4 linked regions of the Ovis aries genome follow. The protein of the gene in region 3 binds, or shares a complex with, the protein of the main gene of each other region. Links are inferred from orthologs where the notes say so. Each region holds a gene or a part of one and is shown on either strand. Other genes may lie near its edges.

The links.
Region 1: ACTR2 (region 3) and ARPC1B share a complex: the UniProt entries of both Homo sapiens proteins name them as parts of the arp2/3 complex. The link is inferred for Ovis aries from reciprocal best matches to the Homo sapiens genes ACTR2 and ARPC1B.
Region 2: the proteins of ACTR2 (region 3) and ARPC5L are in contact, whole or in part, in a cryo-EM structure (PDB 6YW6), measured with the Homo sapiens proteins. The link is inferred for Ovis aries from reciprocal best matches to the Homo sapiens genes ACTR2 and ARPC5L. Residues at the interface, in NP_005713.1 of Homo sapiens: Tyr225, Glu263, Phe266, Gln267, Arg319, Lys322, Gln323, Ser338; in NP_112240.1 of Homo sapiens: Arg11, Arg12, Val13, Asp14, Ile15, Asp16, Glu20.
Region 4: ACTR2 (region 3) and ARPC5 share a complex: the UniProt entries of both Homo sapiens proteins name them as parts of the arp2/3 complex. The link is inferred for Ovis aries from reciprocal best matches to the Homo sapiens genes ACTR2 and ARPC5.

The regions. Positions count from the first base shown.
Region 1 is NC_056077.1:37,454,891-37,459,023, forward strand, and holds the start of ARPC1B (actin-related protein 2/3 complex subunit 1B), read right to left. Parts: upstream 2,864-4,133; 5' UTR 2,811-2,863; intron 1-2,810. UniProt on the Homo sapiens protein: Component of the Arp2/3 complex, a multiprotein complex that mediates actin polymerization upon stimulation by nucleation-promoting factor (NPF).
Region 2 is NC_056056.1:11,024,865-11,027,316, reverse strand, and holds the end of ARPC5L (actin-related protein 2/3 complex subunit 5-like protein), read left to right. Parts: intron 1-53; coding exon 54-230; intron 231-1,392; coding exon 1,393-1,455; 3' UTR 1,456-1,940; downstream 1,941-2,452. UniProt on the Homo sapiens protein: May function as component of the Arp2/3 complex which is involved in regulation of actin polymerization and together with an activating nucleation-promoting factor (NPF) mediates the formation of branched actin networks.
Region 3 is NC_056056.1:43,123,911-43,128,209, reverse strand, and holds the start of ACTR2 (actin-related protein 2), read left to right. Parts: upstream 1-1,479; 5' UTR 1,480-1,592; coding exon 1,593-1,640; intron 1,641-4,299. UniProt on the Homo sapiens protein: ATP-binding component of the Arp2/3 complex, a multiprotein complex that mediates actin polymerization upon stimulation by nucleation-promoting factor (NPF).
Region 4 is NC_056065.1:64,118,504-64,122,069, forward strand, and holds part of ARPC5 (actin-related protein 2/3 complex subunit 5), read right to left. Parts: intron 1,370-3,566; coding exon 1,193-1,369; intron 1-1,192. UniProt on the Homo sapiens protein: Component of the Arp2/3 complex, a multiprotein complex that mediates actin polymerization upon stimulation by nucleation-promoting factor (NPF).

The sequences.
Region 1 (4,133 bases), on a different chromosome or scaffold from region 3:
GGCCAAACCCCAACAGACTCCCCCTACTCCACCCCTACCTACCCCACTGGCTCCAAGCTGCCCGCTACCAACCTGGAGCCAGGATCCTTCTGTGCTCCAGGCAGCACTTCCCCCATGTCTGGCATACGGTGGTGCTCAGGACGAATGGACGGGGGAATCACCCAGGGCTGGGGTTTGAGGGTACAGGGAAAGGACAGCAGCCTGATGGCTGGAGGAGCTTTGGGTGTCCAGGCAGGGGTTGCCAAGGACCACATACTGGGGTGGGAACATACACTCCATGGGCGCAGGGGCATTCGTTTTGTTCATAAGTGCTTCCCCAGTACCAATTAAGAGTGCCCAGCGCATAGTAGGTGCTCAGCAAATACTGCTTGACTGTGATTGCATAAATGAATCACATCTATCTTAGTTTATTCCTTACAGACCAGCCCTATTATTTCACTGGTACATATATGCAACTTGTAAATATTTACTGGGAGTATGCGCTCAAGGTTTTTTCCTGATAGGGTCCATGATCCGAAAAGCTCAGAGATCTTTCATTTAAAAGGTCCTCTGTGAGGATTTGGGGAGAATACAGCGCCCTTCCAAAGCAAAGCAAACCAGGTGAAGCTCCCAGCTGCTCAGCCAAGGGTCTCAGACCTCACGTCTCTTCCTTACACGCTGGGTTCACATTCTGACTCTCTTGATACTGACTGGGTGCTCCTGCCAATGTTTCCCCCACATCTCTATCCAGAAAAGGCTGGGGCTGGACGAGGCACTGGGTGTAGGTTCCTTCTTGCTTTCAGAGAAGCTTTGCCAGCCCGGCCTTTTCTGCATCCAGAGGTTTGGCTGCATTTGAGGCTAAACTAGGCAGGAGCTGCCTGGAGCAAGGAACTCTGCTCTGCAGACACTCAGGGAAGTCCCCACCCAGCTCAGCCACTCGAGGGAGCTGCCAGCAAGCCATTTTGCACTCGTGCTGAGCTGTTACTCAACTTCCTGTTGTGTGTGGAACAACCCTAGACACCCCAAAAGACCAACCAATCCCTCCTCCCCAACTCCACTGCTGAGGTCTTACAAGCCAGGCAAAGTCAAGTCAAGCAAGACAAGTGAAAATCATCCTAAGGCACCATAAAGCATTAGCTAAAATAACACAGAACAAACAAAACCCCCAAACACATGAAACTTGATGCTGGCAAGACTGTGGAGAAATTCTCATTTGTTGCTAATTTGTTAAGTCTCTCTGAAGGGCAGTGTGGTAACATACAATTCCAACCAACCAGGTGGAAACAAACGGAACAAAATACCATTAACAGGAACTTTAAAATTGTTAACATTTTTTTGTGGCATAAATTCATTTCAATGCTAAAAAACACGGCCACTGCCTTTTTTTTTTTTTTTAAAGCAAACATGTTCATAGTAACTCTCTTTATAATGGTGACAGGATAGAAAAATGCAGATGACTACAAACATAAAGAGAAACAGCAAACACGTTGATTTAAGACGTGTGGATTATATACACATACATAATTAACTAATTTACTTGGCTTCTTTAAATGCCCAGAATTTACCCAGGACTTTGACATACATTCTCTTTTACGCCCTAAGAGAAGCCCCAGAACTCTTCTAGTGTTTGTTTTAACGAGTAAGAAACAGATGCAGACAAAAACCAAAGTGTGCGCGGTCACCAGCTCCTACAACGGCACAGTGTGGGGTTCTGACTCTAAATCTCAGAGGTGATAAGTGTATAGGCAGGCCTTATAATAAAAGCAAGGACAATAACAGTGCACATTTAGTCCGTGTGTGTGCCTGGCACACTGCCAAGTGTCTTACACACATGATCACATGTAAACCTCCCAGCTTGAAAGTTCCTCATTTTGCAGGTAAGCAAAGTTGAGGCCCAGGGAGGTTAGGCGGCTTGCTAAGGTCAGTGGCCAGTGAAGGAAGACGCTGGCGCTCTTAGCAGCTTCTGGTCTGGAAGACCTTGCCAGCCCAGGGTGCTCTTAACCACCGGGTAGCAGTGCCCGCCAGGCTGGGGGTGGGGGTGGGGGGGGTGGAGGGTTCCCGGGACAGCCCAGATGAAACGGAGAGCCCTCCAGCTCCGCGTCTGTACCGGGCCCGCTAAGGCTGCTTCATGCCAGCAAACCTCTGTGTCACCGTCGCTGCCCCGAGGTCCCGGCCCTGCCCCAGTCCTGGCCGCGGTCCCTGGGCCGCCGGCGAGACAGGGGCTGCTCGGAACGCGCCGGTCCAGCGCCCGCGAGCTCAGGAGGTCCGCCTCCCGGACCCCAGCAATCCCCCCTGGATCGGACCCCTTCGACCTGGCCCCGGGGTCGGCGGAGGGCTGGGGGCCGGGAGAGAAGGAGGGAGGGAGGAGGGGCGAGGCGGGCGGGGGCGCCAGCTCATTTCCCCGCTGGAGGAACCCGGAAGGCTGAAGGATGGAGGGGAAGTGACTGGGCGTGGGGGCCCTCCGGCTCGAAATAACGGGGGACACCGACGGCCGGGCAGAGTCGGGGCTCGGGGGACGGGAGAGAGGGGAGGCCGAGAGGGCCGGGCGCGGAGGTGGACGCGCGGGCTCGCGCGCCCCGAAGGCACGGAGTGCGGCGAGCGCTGCGGCGCCCTCGACCGGAGGAGGTCGCCCGCCCGCCCGCCCGCCCGCACCCCGCGCCCCGCGCGCCCGCTCACGTCCAGGGGGGCCCTCAGTGCCCCCTGCTCGTCCCTGAGCTCCCCACGGCCCCCCATCTCCTGGCGACCCCCGCAACGCCCTCCCCACCTGCACGCGCCCCCTCCTCGCGCTCCCCTCGACCCCGGCATCCCGGGCCGCCCCCGCGCCCCCTCACCTCGGGGCGCCGCGGCCGCGGACTCTGGGCAGTCGACGCGCCGAACCGGCTCTGGGCGCCGCGCCGCGCGGCCACTTCCTCGTGGGCGGGGGGCGGGGCCTCCGGGCTCAGCCCCGCGGGGCCGGGGCGGGGCCGGGCGGCGGGCGGGGAGCCCCGGGCCCGCCCTCCCTCCCTCCCCGCCTGGGGCCGCGCCCACCCGGGCCGCCCGGAAGGCTTGCTCTCCTCTCCGCGTGTTGGGCGGGGAGACTGAGGTTCGGCGAGGGGCGCAACTCTCTGTCGGCCTCGGGCCCCTCCCAGCGGGGACCAGACCTCCGCATGTGCGGGGCGTGTTGGGCAATCGGGCAGTCCGGGCCGCCGGCCTGCTGCCGGGGTCCTCACGTCAAAACGGGGGAGCCCTCGGCTGGTCCAGCCCCTTCCCAGGGCCCACTTCCTGACGCTCTTTCCACCGCAGACCGCTTCCCGTCCTTAAGTCACAGCGGACTCGCAGCCGCCTGAATGTGGTGGGTCTTGGGCCAGGTGGTCCAGAGGGGTCTCTCCATCCCTGCCCCCTGCCTCATCAATGGGGATGACCGGCAGGTGGCGCTTCCCCCAGCGTTCCGCTCAGCCAGACACTAAGTGGCATGGGCGGATGGTGTGGGGTCTCAGGAGGTCCCGGGCACCCACATGTCTCCCGGCTTTGACCCTTGCTCTTCTTTCTGCCTGGAACATTGACACGCCCTGTCCACACCTGGCCCACTTACCTTTATGTTGCAGGACAGGGGTCAGTGTCTCTTAGGTCACTTTGTCCCTGACCCCCTCAACAGGGTCCTGGGCTCACCGGTCCCAGCTCCCATTACACAATCCCAACCTGCGGGTGGCCGGGAGGAGGAAATGCGCCCAAAGGTGAGGAGCATTTTGAGATGAGCACACAGGGTGCTTGGTAAACTCTAGCTCCTTCCTGGCTCTGGGCAGACACTGAGGGGCTATTAGCAGGACCCCCGCCCCCAACTCCACACCACCACATCCAGCAGTGGCAAATATAAGTGATGGCTTCAGTCAGAAAAAAGTTTCAAGTGATCTGTACCGGCTACTCCCCCTCCCGTAAGGACAAGGGCACTTCAATGCTGCGGTGACACCTGCATCCTTGGATTCCACTTGCCTCTCCCCAGCTTCGCAGATGCCCAGGGAACACCTCCAGGTGGGACTGAGCCCCACCTCCGATGGCGGCCTCCTCCCCCTGCAGTGCTCTCACCCTAGTCCTGGACTTGTGACCTAAGAGTTGGTCAAAGCAAAGCCCAGGACTTCGGGTGAAGACTGGAGAAAAGCAGTCATCCTTCATCCTAT
Region 2 (2,452 bases), about 32 Mb from region 3:
GGTACGCCTGGGCCATGGCTCTAGACCCCATTCCCTCTCTCTTTCCCCTGTAGGAGCGGGCCCAGGGCGTGGTGCTGAAAGTGCTTACAAACTTTAAGAGCAGCGAAATCGAGCAGGCTGTGCAGTCACTGGACAGAAACGGCATTGACTTGCTAATGAAGTACATTTATAAAGGGTTTGAGAAGCCCACAGAGAATAGCAGCGCAGTGTTACTCCAGTGGCATGAAAAGGTACGTGAACACATTGCCCGCTGGCTCACCCCAGCCCAGGGTTCAGATCAACAGGCCAGGCAGTCCCAAACACAGACAGGATGGTCTGATAGGCCGTTGAGAATGAGGGCCACGCCTCAAGCAACCTGGAACATCTGAGCACTTTCCTCTCCCAAGGAAGCACTGGTAGGGGTCCACCATCTCTGGTCATTGCCATTGCTTTAGCTGAGTTTGTGCCGGGGAGGCCTTGGGGCCTGTAACTTGGCTGGTGAGGTTCAGGTAGGCTTGCTGGTGGCAGGGCTTTGACATACTTTCTTTGGGCTGGCGGAGGTGGTGATCCTGGGCCTTAGATGCAGGCTGAGCCCTCCGGTTAGCTCTGAGGGCTTCCTGCTCCAGCCTTACCTCACCAGGCCACACAGAAACAGTGGTAGATACCTTGGCAGTCTCTTAATAGGACCTTCATCCTCCTGAAGCTGGAAAAGCTGGGCCTGTCCTTTGTTTTAGTACAAGGTGTTGGGGGGTGGGTAGGGGGTGGGGGGGTGGAGGGAGGGCCACCTCTTGTCAAGCCAGTGTCCCTCATGAAAGGCTCTGCCGAGTACTAAGGGAGTGGCCCTTAACTGAGGGGTCAGTCACATGGCCAGCCTCAGGCCTGGGCTGAATTGTGGCCTTTGGTGCTGCTGGTGGGTGTTCTGCCTGCCCTGCCAGAAGGTGAGCTCCTGGGCTTCGTAATGGAGGTGGCTATGGTGCTTGGGAGCTGAGCAAAGCCCTTGGAGTCGTCTGAGGGGCCACGCTCTCTGGTCCCTTCATGGCAGCCGGATGCATGAGCCTGTGGACATTTCCACTGCAGTGGGCTAGTGTCTGTTTTAGGGCCTAGGGCTGTTTCTGGATACAGTGAGCTTGTCAAAGGGAAACTGGGGGGCTCTGTGAGCTTGGTGACAGTGTTGCAAGCCCAGTTCTCCTGCCTTAAAGAGCCAACAGCTTTTGGGGACCCTTTGTTCCAGGAAAGGGCTCGATCCGTCGAATGCAGGCCCTGTTGACACCTCTTCTGTGCTCTCGCAGGAATGCTTTTTCAGAAGATCTGTGACATGGTCAGGAGTGTAGTCCTGTCTCCCCTGGCAAGAAGCTAGGAGCCCCTTGGCCAGCCAGGTCTCAATTGACACCTTTTCTTTTGCTGCCCCTACAGGCATTAGCAGTAGGAGGACTAGGCTCCATTATAAGAGTTCTTACAGCAAGAAAGACTGTTTAAAAAAAAAAGAGAGAGACTCATGTTACCTCAAGAAGAATTTTGGATGCACAGGCTGTCGAAGAAGGGATTGACAATGGGCCGCCTGTCTCGGAACTCCCAAGTCAACTATTTCACGACCTGCATCCGCTGAAGTGTTTTATTTTCAAGGTGGAGGGAGAGATCGTCTGTTTTCATAAATCCTTTGCAGGATCTGATAGTCTATGCCTTTGTCCACGAGTAACGCAGAACTGACATTTTGACTCTACCAGAGTGGCTGGCCCGCCTTGGTCCGGGGTACCTGTGTGCACTGCCTGTTTAAAAGGAGGGAGGGGTGGTTTGGGCAGGTGCAGATCCAAGGGCTGCGGTAAAAGGGAGAGCTAGGTTTTTTTTTGAAGCGGAAACCCCCGAGGGTTTGTACAGACACCCCGACCTCCCAGAGAAGGCGGGCTCTCTTGGGTTCATTGTAAAGTGCCTGCTGCATCAATAAAGCTCTTGGCTTATTAGTATATACTCTGCCGTGTGTTTCATGTGTATAAAAGGAACGGGAAATAAATGGGATGGTCATGGATGAGAGGTGGCCTGTTCTGGAAACTGGACGTGGAGTGGTAGACAGACAAAACTCCCTGCAGAGCTGCCTGGGAGCGAGCGTGGTGTTCTCACTCTGGCTGCAGCGGTCCCTCGAGCCTGGGCCACAGTGCTGCTGGCTGCTACACAGACATGTTTTGCTGAATAACTATTGTTTTTACTCCTCTGATTTGTATGTAGTTTTGGAGCTTATTTAATAAAGTCTTCAGTTTGTGTGATTGCACTTGGGAGTCCTGGGAGTGGGCTCAGGTGTGCCCATCAACCCCTCCGGACGCTGGGCTTGGCTGTTCGCCAGGAAGACTGTGATGCTGAGGGGTTTTCTTTACAGGAGGGAGAGACAAACAGGTAGGAACAAGCCTGTACACAGACAAGGCACATTTTGTTCCCTGTAACCGCTGACAGTGGGCCTGTCTGAAGAGCAGATGCTTTTGTT
Region 3 (4,299 bases):
GTGAAACTGAGAAGCAGTCTAGTATTATAATACCAAACTGGGGGTTCATCATCCAAGTTTTATTCTTGTCAATACACATGTACAGCAAGTGAAAGGCACAGTTCTAGTTCTCACCTCTCAAATATGATGGCATTTTCAAATAGATTAATGTCATTCATACAATAAATACTTGTTGAGTGTAACAAGCACAATATTCAAACACCCATGGTAAAATAATAGCAAGAAAAGAGAATAAAGAGCATCTTGGAGGTTATCAGCAAAGTCTTCAAAGATGTGACAACCGGCTCTGAGAGCATGTCTCCTGATTGATTAAAAAGAAAAAAGGCAGGAGCATTATAGAGAGAACCAGAAGTTTAACAGGGCTTCCCAAGAGGCTCAGCGATAGAGACTCCAGACCTGCTAATGAACGCGAGTGGGGTTCCACCCCTGGGCTGGGAAGATCCCCACTTCAGTATTCTTGCCTGAAAAAGCCCAAGGAACAGAGAGGCCTGGCGCGCCACAGTCCATGCGATCACAGTCAGACACGACTGAGCACGCACATTCGAGTTTAAGAATATGAAATTAATAGTAAATAGCGTCCACTGAATGGATTGCTTACTTTGCTGTGTAGTTTCTAAGTTTGTCCCACCCATGACTATAGCCTGCCAAGCTCCTCTGTCCATAGAATTATCCAGGCAAGAATACTGGAGCGGGTTGCCATTTCCTTTAAGCATACAACCACCCACGGAAGAGCGACTGCTATCCCCGTAAATAGACGGGGGTAGGCCCAGATCACATTAGTCTTCGTTGGCAGGGCCGTATTTGAAAGTAGGGTTGCCCCATTTCAAAGTCGAGAGCCTGTGAAACAGGTACAATAGAGGTGTGAAGCAATATGGTGCTGCTAGAAGGGAAGTGGTGAGCAGTGAGGCTCACCTAACTAACGGCAAACCCGGACGAGATGGGCTGGACTGGAATCAGGGGGATCTGTATAAATGCAAGATTTCATGTGTCTATACCCATCCCAGCTCTGCCTGCTGAAAAGGCCTAGAAGCAATGACACACCAAGTTTCATTCAATGGTGGGGATAGTAAGGGTGTCTTCTGTTTCGGCCCTGCCGGCAGGCTTCTCTGTCACATTCCAAAGCCCTCTCGCCACAGACCGTTGTCCTTCATCTGCCTGCAGCCGGAAAACGCCGAACTCCTGCAAAGCCTTAGAAAGCAGGGGAAACTGCCTGCCAGCTCGGCTACTATTACTGCCCACCAAAGGGTCGGGAACAAGACGCCCACAGGAAGAACCCGGAAGGGCGGCGACCCTAAAGGCGGAGCAGGCGCGGAAGCCGGGCTGGCGCCGTAGGCGGGGCCTCGGGCTCCTTTTTTTCTTATTGGAGTGCACCACTGCCAGTCTCGGCCTCTTTCCTCCCGTCCCCGCCTCTTCCGTGCAGGCAGTTTGTTAGGTGGCGGGTGAGAGCCGGCGGTCACTTCCGGTTGGGGGAGAAACGTTAGACCGAAGGCGGGGCCGGGAAGAGGGAGGAGGAGGAAGAGGAACGAGAAGGGCGGTGGGTGCTCTAGGTTGTTCGGCAGCGGCTGTGGCTCCGGCTCTCTTCCGGGAGGACGATGGACAGCCAGGGCAGGAAGGTGGTGGTGTGCGACAACGGCACCGGGGTAAGCGCTCGGCGGGGAGGCTGCAGCGGCCACAGGCCGGGGCCCGGATGTGCGGGGGGCGCGCGGGCCTAAAGCGCCCGGAACTGCACCCCTGGGACCTCTGCCGGCCGGTCCGAGGGCCGCTGGCCAGCGCTTTCCACCCGCGTGGGTGTGGGGCTCGAGCGGACTGGACCCCTTAGTAGCCCCGAGCTGGGCACTCCCGCAGCTCGGGGTAAGGACGGCGGGCGAGGCCGATGATGGTTGGGGTTTCCACCTGCTACCGGTCCGGGGCCGGCCCAGCGCTCTAGCCGCAGGAATTTGGCTCGAGGGCTGGAGGGGTAAAAGGCTGGGCTTGTGCGTTGCGAAAGGGCTTCACTCACCAGGGTCGCCGATGTGTAAAAAAGGAGAAAGACCAAGAGGCCTTGCTCTTCCTGTAGAGTTGAAGATACGGAACAGGAGTCAGGAAACGGGTTTAAAGAAAAAAGGGAACTGCTGTCATGCAATGAACCTCAGTCCTTTCGCAGTGTCTGAGGCTTTTGTTGTTTTGTTTTCTTGTTTTCTGAGAGAATGGAAGGCCAGATCAGCTGTGCATCATTTACGTTTTGTTCTCCATGCTGGAAATTTGGCCCAGGTGCAGCCCCGCAGAGACCAGTATGTTTCCGTGGTTGATCTTGATCCTTTAAGGCCCAAGTAGTAATTCCACTAACCTTAGGGAAGTTAACCTTAGGAAGTTTGGGTACCCCTCCTCCTTTTTTCCCTTATTGGCAGACTACAGTTAATGTTAGTATTTAAGATCCTAAAATGCAAATAATTGTAAAAATCAGAGTAAAACACTGATTTAGACGTTATTTGAAAGTTGTTTCTCTTAGTTGCCCCTCCCCCCAATAAAAAAAATTTTTAGGCAGCAAAGTCAGCAAATTAGAATACAGAACTGTTACTTATTTTGGATGAGTTCTGTAGTGATCACTTCCCCTGCATTAAAGCAATTTCTAACCATTTTGAAGCTGCAGTATTTTGTCGCTTTATCCCCTTCCTTCCATAAATGTAATATATGAATTAAAATAGATTTTGTATGAACTTCAAGTCACTTTGGAAACTGGATCGTTGAGGGGAAAAAAGAGCTGATATTCACCGCCATAATACTGCCTTTGATTGAATTTTTACAAGCAGTGATTATACTAGCTTTATCTGAACTAAGTTGAAAATAGATGAGAGTAAGAAGAGTGTTATCATTTAATACAACGTTCATACAAAATAGCATAGTACTTAAAAAGAGGCAGCTTCCATTTATGTGCGTGTTCTTTATTAAAGTTATTTATGTGTCCACAAATGTATATGTGTATGTGAAAGTTTTGAAGGGATTTGTGAGAAATTTATGTTCGTCGTGGTTATCCATGAGACTAGGGATAAGAGTGAGGTCAGGTGGGAAGGACTTCATGACTCAGTTATTGGGAAAATGTTCTTTATTTTTTAACAAAACATGCAATGTTAAACTGTCTTTAAATGAAATTATAAATGTGTTCCTTTTACAGTTAAAACTCAGTTTAAAGGTGCTTTTTTAAAAAAAAATTGGCCTAATTCCCCCCTGTAGTCTCAAATTGACATCTAAATAAATGTAAATCTTTAAAAAAATTGATACTAATGTATTTTTTTTGTGACTATGTCAGTTTTGTTTTTTTTTTAGAAATCGAAGTCTGTTATATTTTAATGGATTCCTCCTCTTTGAAGGACAGAGAAACCAGTTTTTGTAGTATATGTTATTTCATAATATGCAATTAAAAATCTTTTTTTTCTTGTTCTTAAGCTTTTTTTTTTTTTTGGCTCTGTAGCATGTGGGGATCTTAGTTCCCTGGCCAGGGTTGGAACCCACGTCCCCTGTAGTGGAAGCACTGGACTGGCAGGGAAGTCCCATAATTAGTTTTATGTTACTGTTTCATTAGCTTGTTACAAAACTCATTGTATATTTGATTAGCCTTATGTCTATAATTTAAGAATCTTGTTCCTTAAGACAAAAGATAAGTTACTGTGACATAAGTAGAAAAGTGTAGTTAATTCAAACAAAACTTTGTGTAATGTTTGGCATTGTATTTCTAATTACTTTAAATATCCAGATTTTCTATAGGACATGATTGACTTAATGAAGAAACTCCATGAAGAAAGCTCTGATGTAGTATGTAGTCAGGAATGCTGTGATATTTCTGAAAATTTAGAGAATTAGGAGCCACTTAGAGTCTGTATTTCTTATACTTCATAGTCCTGTTGATTTTATTTAGGTACCTGAAGGTCTAATGATTCCTCTGTGATTAAGAAGATACTAAAATTTAGTTTCTAAAAATTTATGAGAATAGTTGTTATTCTGAAGCAACTTACCTCTTAACACATTTTAGGTTTTAAAATTATAGGCCATTTGAGAAGTTGATTTTTTTTTAAAGCCTCTCTGGCAGGCCCTAAATGGAAAGCCCTAAGGGTAGATGAGTTCTTACAGTCACATGCCAGGTTATGGTCCTGCTCCTCAACCTCTCCAGCTCCCAAGCTGGCCAGTGCCTCTGTAGGGCCTCCTAGAGGAGGAAAGCGCATCCGATTCCAATACCTTATGCACTTCATCCTCATAACCATCCAAACCTAAAATGGAGCCTGTGTAAACCGCCACCTAACGTAAAGCTGCGGAAAGTGGCCAGAT
Region 4 (3,566 bases), on a different chromosome or scaffold from region 3:
TTTGGGAGAGGAGGGGCTGGGGGGATGGATAGTGTACCAGCATCTGCTAATACTGCAAAGCAAAATGCATGAAAACAGAAAAAAGAAATTAAGAATTCTTGATCCTACTCCTGATTTCATTTTTTAGAACTGTGATAAAATATGTAACATAAAATTTGCCACATTAGCCATCTTTAAATATAAAATTCAGTGGCATTAATTACGTTCAAATATTGTATAGCCATCACCACTATCTATTTACAATACTTTCCCATCTCTCCAAACAGAAACTCTGTACCCATTAAGCAATAACTCTCCAGTCTCCCTTCTCCACAGGCACTGGTAATTTCTAATCCATTTTCTGTCTCTATGAACCTGCCTATTCTAGATATTTCATGCAAGCGGAAGTGAAGTGAAGTGAAGTCGCTCAGTCATGTCCGACTCTTTGCGACCCCATGGACTGTAGCCTACCAGGCTCCTCTGTCCATGGAATTTTCCAGGCAAGAATACTGGAGTGGGTTGCCATTTCCTTCTCCAAGGGATCTTCCCAACCCAGGGATCGAACCCAGGCTTCCTGCATTGTAGGCAGACGCTTTTACCATCTGAGCCATCACAGTATTTTGTGGAATACAGTATTTTGTGTCTTTTTGTATCTGGTTTATTTCACTTTGCATAATGTTTTCAAGGTTCATTCATGCTGTACCATGTAGATAAACATTTTCTGGTCAAGTAATATTCCCTTGTATGTCTGTGTCAGATTCTGTTCATCTGTTTGGGCATCCCTGATGGCTCAATGGTAAAGAATCCACTTGCAATGCAGGAGATGTGGGCTAATACCCTGGAGGAGAAAATGGCAACCCACTCCAGTATTCTTGCCTGAAAGATCTGATGGAGACGAGCCTGGTGGGCTATGGTTCATGGGGCTGCGCAGTTGGACATGAATGAGCAGAGCGACTGCACACGCATGCATGCACGTTCATCTGTTCATGGATGCGTGGGTTTTCCAGCTTTTGGCAATTGTTAAAGAATTCAAATCAGCATCTCAAGACCAAGGCTAGCAAGCATAAATCTAAACTTTCATTTTCATGCATTTATTTGTAGTAACCACCAATGTATAACCAAAGAGTCAAAACAGGTATTTAGGCTAGAGGTTGTCAATGTTTTTTCCATTACAAAGGAACCAGTCATACAGATTGTATAATTCATGACTTACCTTTTCATGCCACTGCAATAACACAGCACTGCTATTGTCAGAGGGGCTCTCAAAGCCTTTATAAATATACTTCATTAGGAGATCCACACCATTCTTGTCCAGGGATTGAACTGCTTTTTCAATATCGTTAGCTTTAAAAGAGATGAGCACCTTCAAGACAATGCTGCCTGCGCGATCCTGAAGGTAAATAAACAACAGATCGTTCAGTCTCATTTTTGTGTTGGGTAGTTCCAGTTTTTAGAAAGGCTGCACTGCGAGTGTGACATTCGGGTAGAGACCTGAAGAAAGGAAGAGGACACCTTGGGTGTATCTGAGGCAAACATTTCAGAGAGAGAAGAGTAACTGCTGCTAGCGTGTGTTCAGTGTGCTCAAGGGACAGCAAGAAGATGAAGGGGGCTGGAGTGGAGTGCAGGGCAGGAAGTCAGAGAGGCAGTAGGAAGACAGAACGCGTAAACCCTGCAGGCCCTTATGAGAACTCTGGCCTCCAGTCACAGAAATGAGAAGCTGTTGGACTTCCCTGGTGGCTCAGAGGTTAAAGTGTCTTCCTGGAATGCGGGAGACCTGGGTTCGATCCCTGGGTCAGGAAGATCCCCTGGAGAAGGAAATGGCAACCCACTCCAGTACTCTTGCCTGGAGAATCCCATGGAGGGAGGAGCCTGGTAGGCTATGGTACTGAGCGACTTCACTTTTGCTTTCTTTCTTTCTAAAAAGAGTGATGTCATCTGACTTACATATCCCATGGAGGGAGGAGCCTGGTAGGCTATGGTACTGAGCGACTTCACTTTCGCTTTCTTTCTTTCTAAAAAGAGTGATGTCATCTGACTTACATTTTAACAGGACCAGCTGGCTGTCATATTGAAAATAAGCCCGGGGCAGCAGGAGGGTCGGGGGAGCAGGAGACAGAAGCCTGGAAGCCAGCTTGGAAGTTCCTGCACCAAGACAGGCTGGCTTTGGCTGGCATGGCAGCAGCAGAGGCAGCCAGAAGCAGACAGAGTCTCGACATATTTGAAGGTAGAGCTGAAAGGGTTTACTTACAGATAGATGTAACAAATTATCAATGTATTAAATCAATACATTTCACTTCTTGATTTAAAAAAAATAGACCAAAAGAAGGAAACTGAATTATAGTTCTACCCTGATGCATCCTTCAGAAATGTTATTAATAAATAAAAATTTAAGTTTCTAAAACTTATTTTTCATTTCACATCTATAGTCAAGTGACTATAGGTATTAGAGTGGTCTTCATTTATAATGATCTTTTTCTTTGATGAATGACTGCTCCAACAGCAGTTGCTTTTCACCTAGCAAGCCAAGTACACAGAACACTTAATTTCCCCTTTCAACAATGTTTCTCTTTCTATTCAACACAAAGTGATACCTTCTGCATTCCTGCCGGTCATGATCTTACAGTATGCTTCTACCACCTTTTGCTGTCTTCAGTTTAAAGACTATGCAATTATCCGTTTAGAAAAATATCCTTGTATGGAGAGCTATAACCTCCCACCCACACGCTCTGATTAAAAAAAAACACCCACAAAAAAGCAGAAGGTGGTAAAACGAAATTTCAATGACGTTACTCACTTTTAAAAACCAAAGAAGCATTTCCTCTTATAAAAGATTATGTTGCCTAGATAATAATGCATTTACCTAAGTTATTATTTACTAGTATTTAACTAAGGAGATACTTGGGGCTCCTAGGATGTGTGAATGGCTATGGACAGTGGGGGGATCAATGCTCTGGGTGTGGGATTATGGACGATTACATTTTTATTCCCCCATATTGCTGAGTTTTCTACAATACTTAACAGAACTAAACATTAAAATTTAATCTGAAAAAAAAAAGAAAAAAAATTTAATCTGGGCTTTAAACAATTAAGTAAATAGGTTCTTAAGAATTACTGAAAGATGGTTAAGAGGCAATGTAATTTTACAACTTTTCTGAAGGGTAGTATGGCAATACCATATGTAGCCTTAAAAAAATGTGCAGTCTAAAATCCAGCCATTCACTTCCAGAAATTTATTCAAAGGAAACAATTCAGACTTTACCAAGAATTGTTCATTTCAATACTATTTATGACAGGAAAAAAGTCAATAAATATATGATGAAAGTTTATATATAACTAAACTGCAGGATTATCAAAATACAGATGTTAAAAAAGATATTATAGAAATAAACTTATTACCAAGTAAAGCTGTTCATGTATGCTGCTATACAGATGAAAAGCAGTTTATCTATTTTAATGAAAAGAAAAACTCATAGAAAAACTCTATAAGCATACAGCAACAACAAAAAGTAATGATTATCTACAGGTATGGAATTATAATTATTTTCATTCCCCCACATTTCTGAGTTTTCAATAATATTTAACAGAAT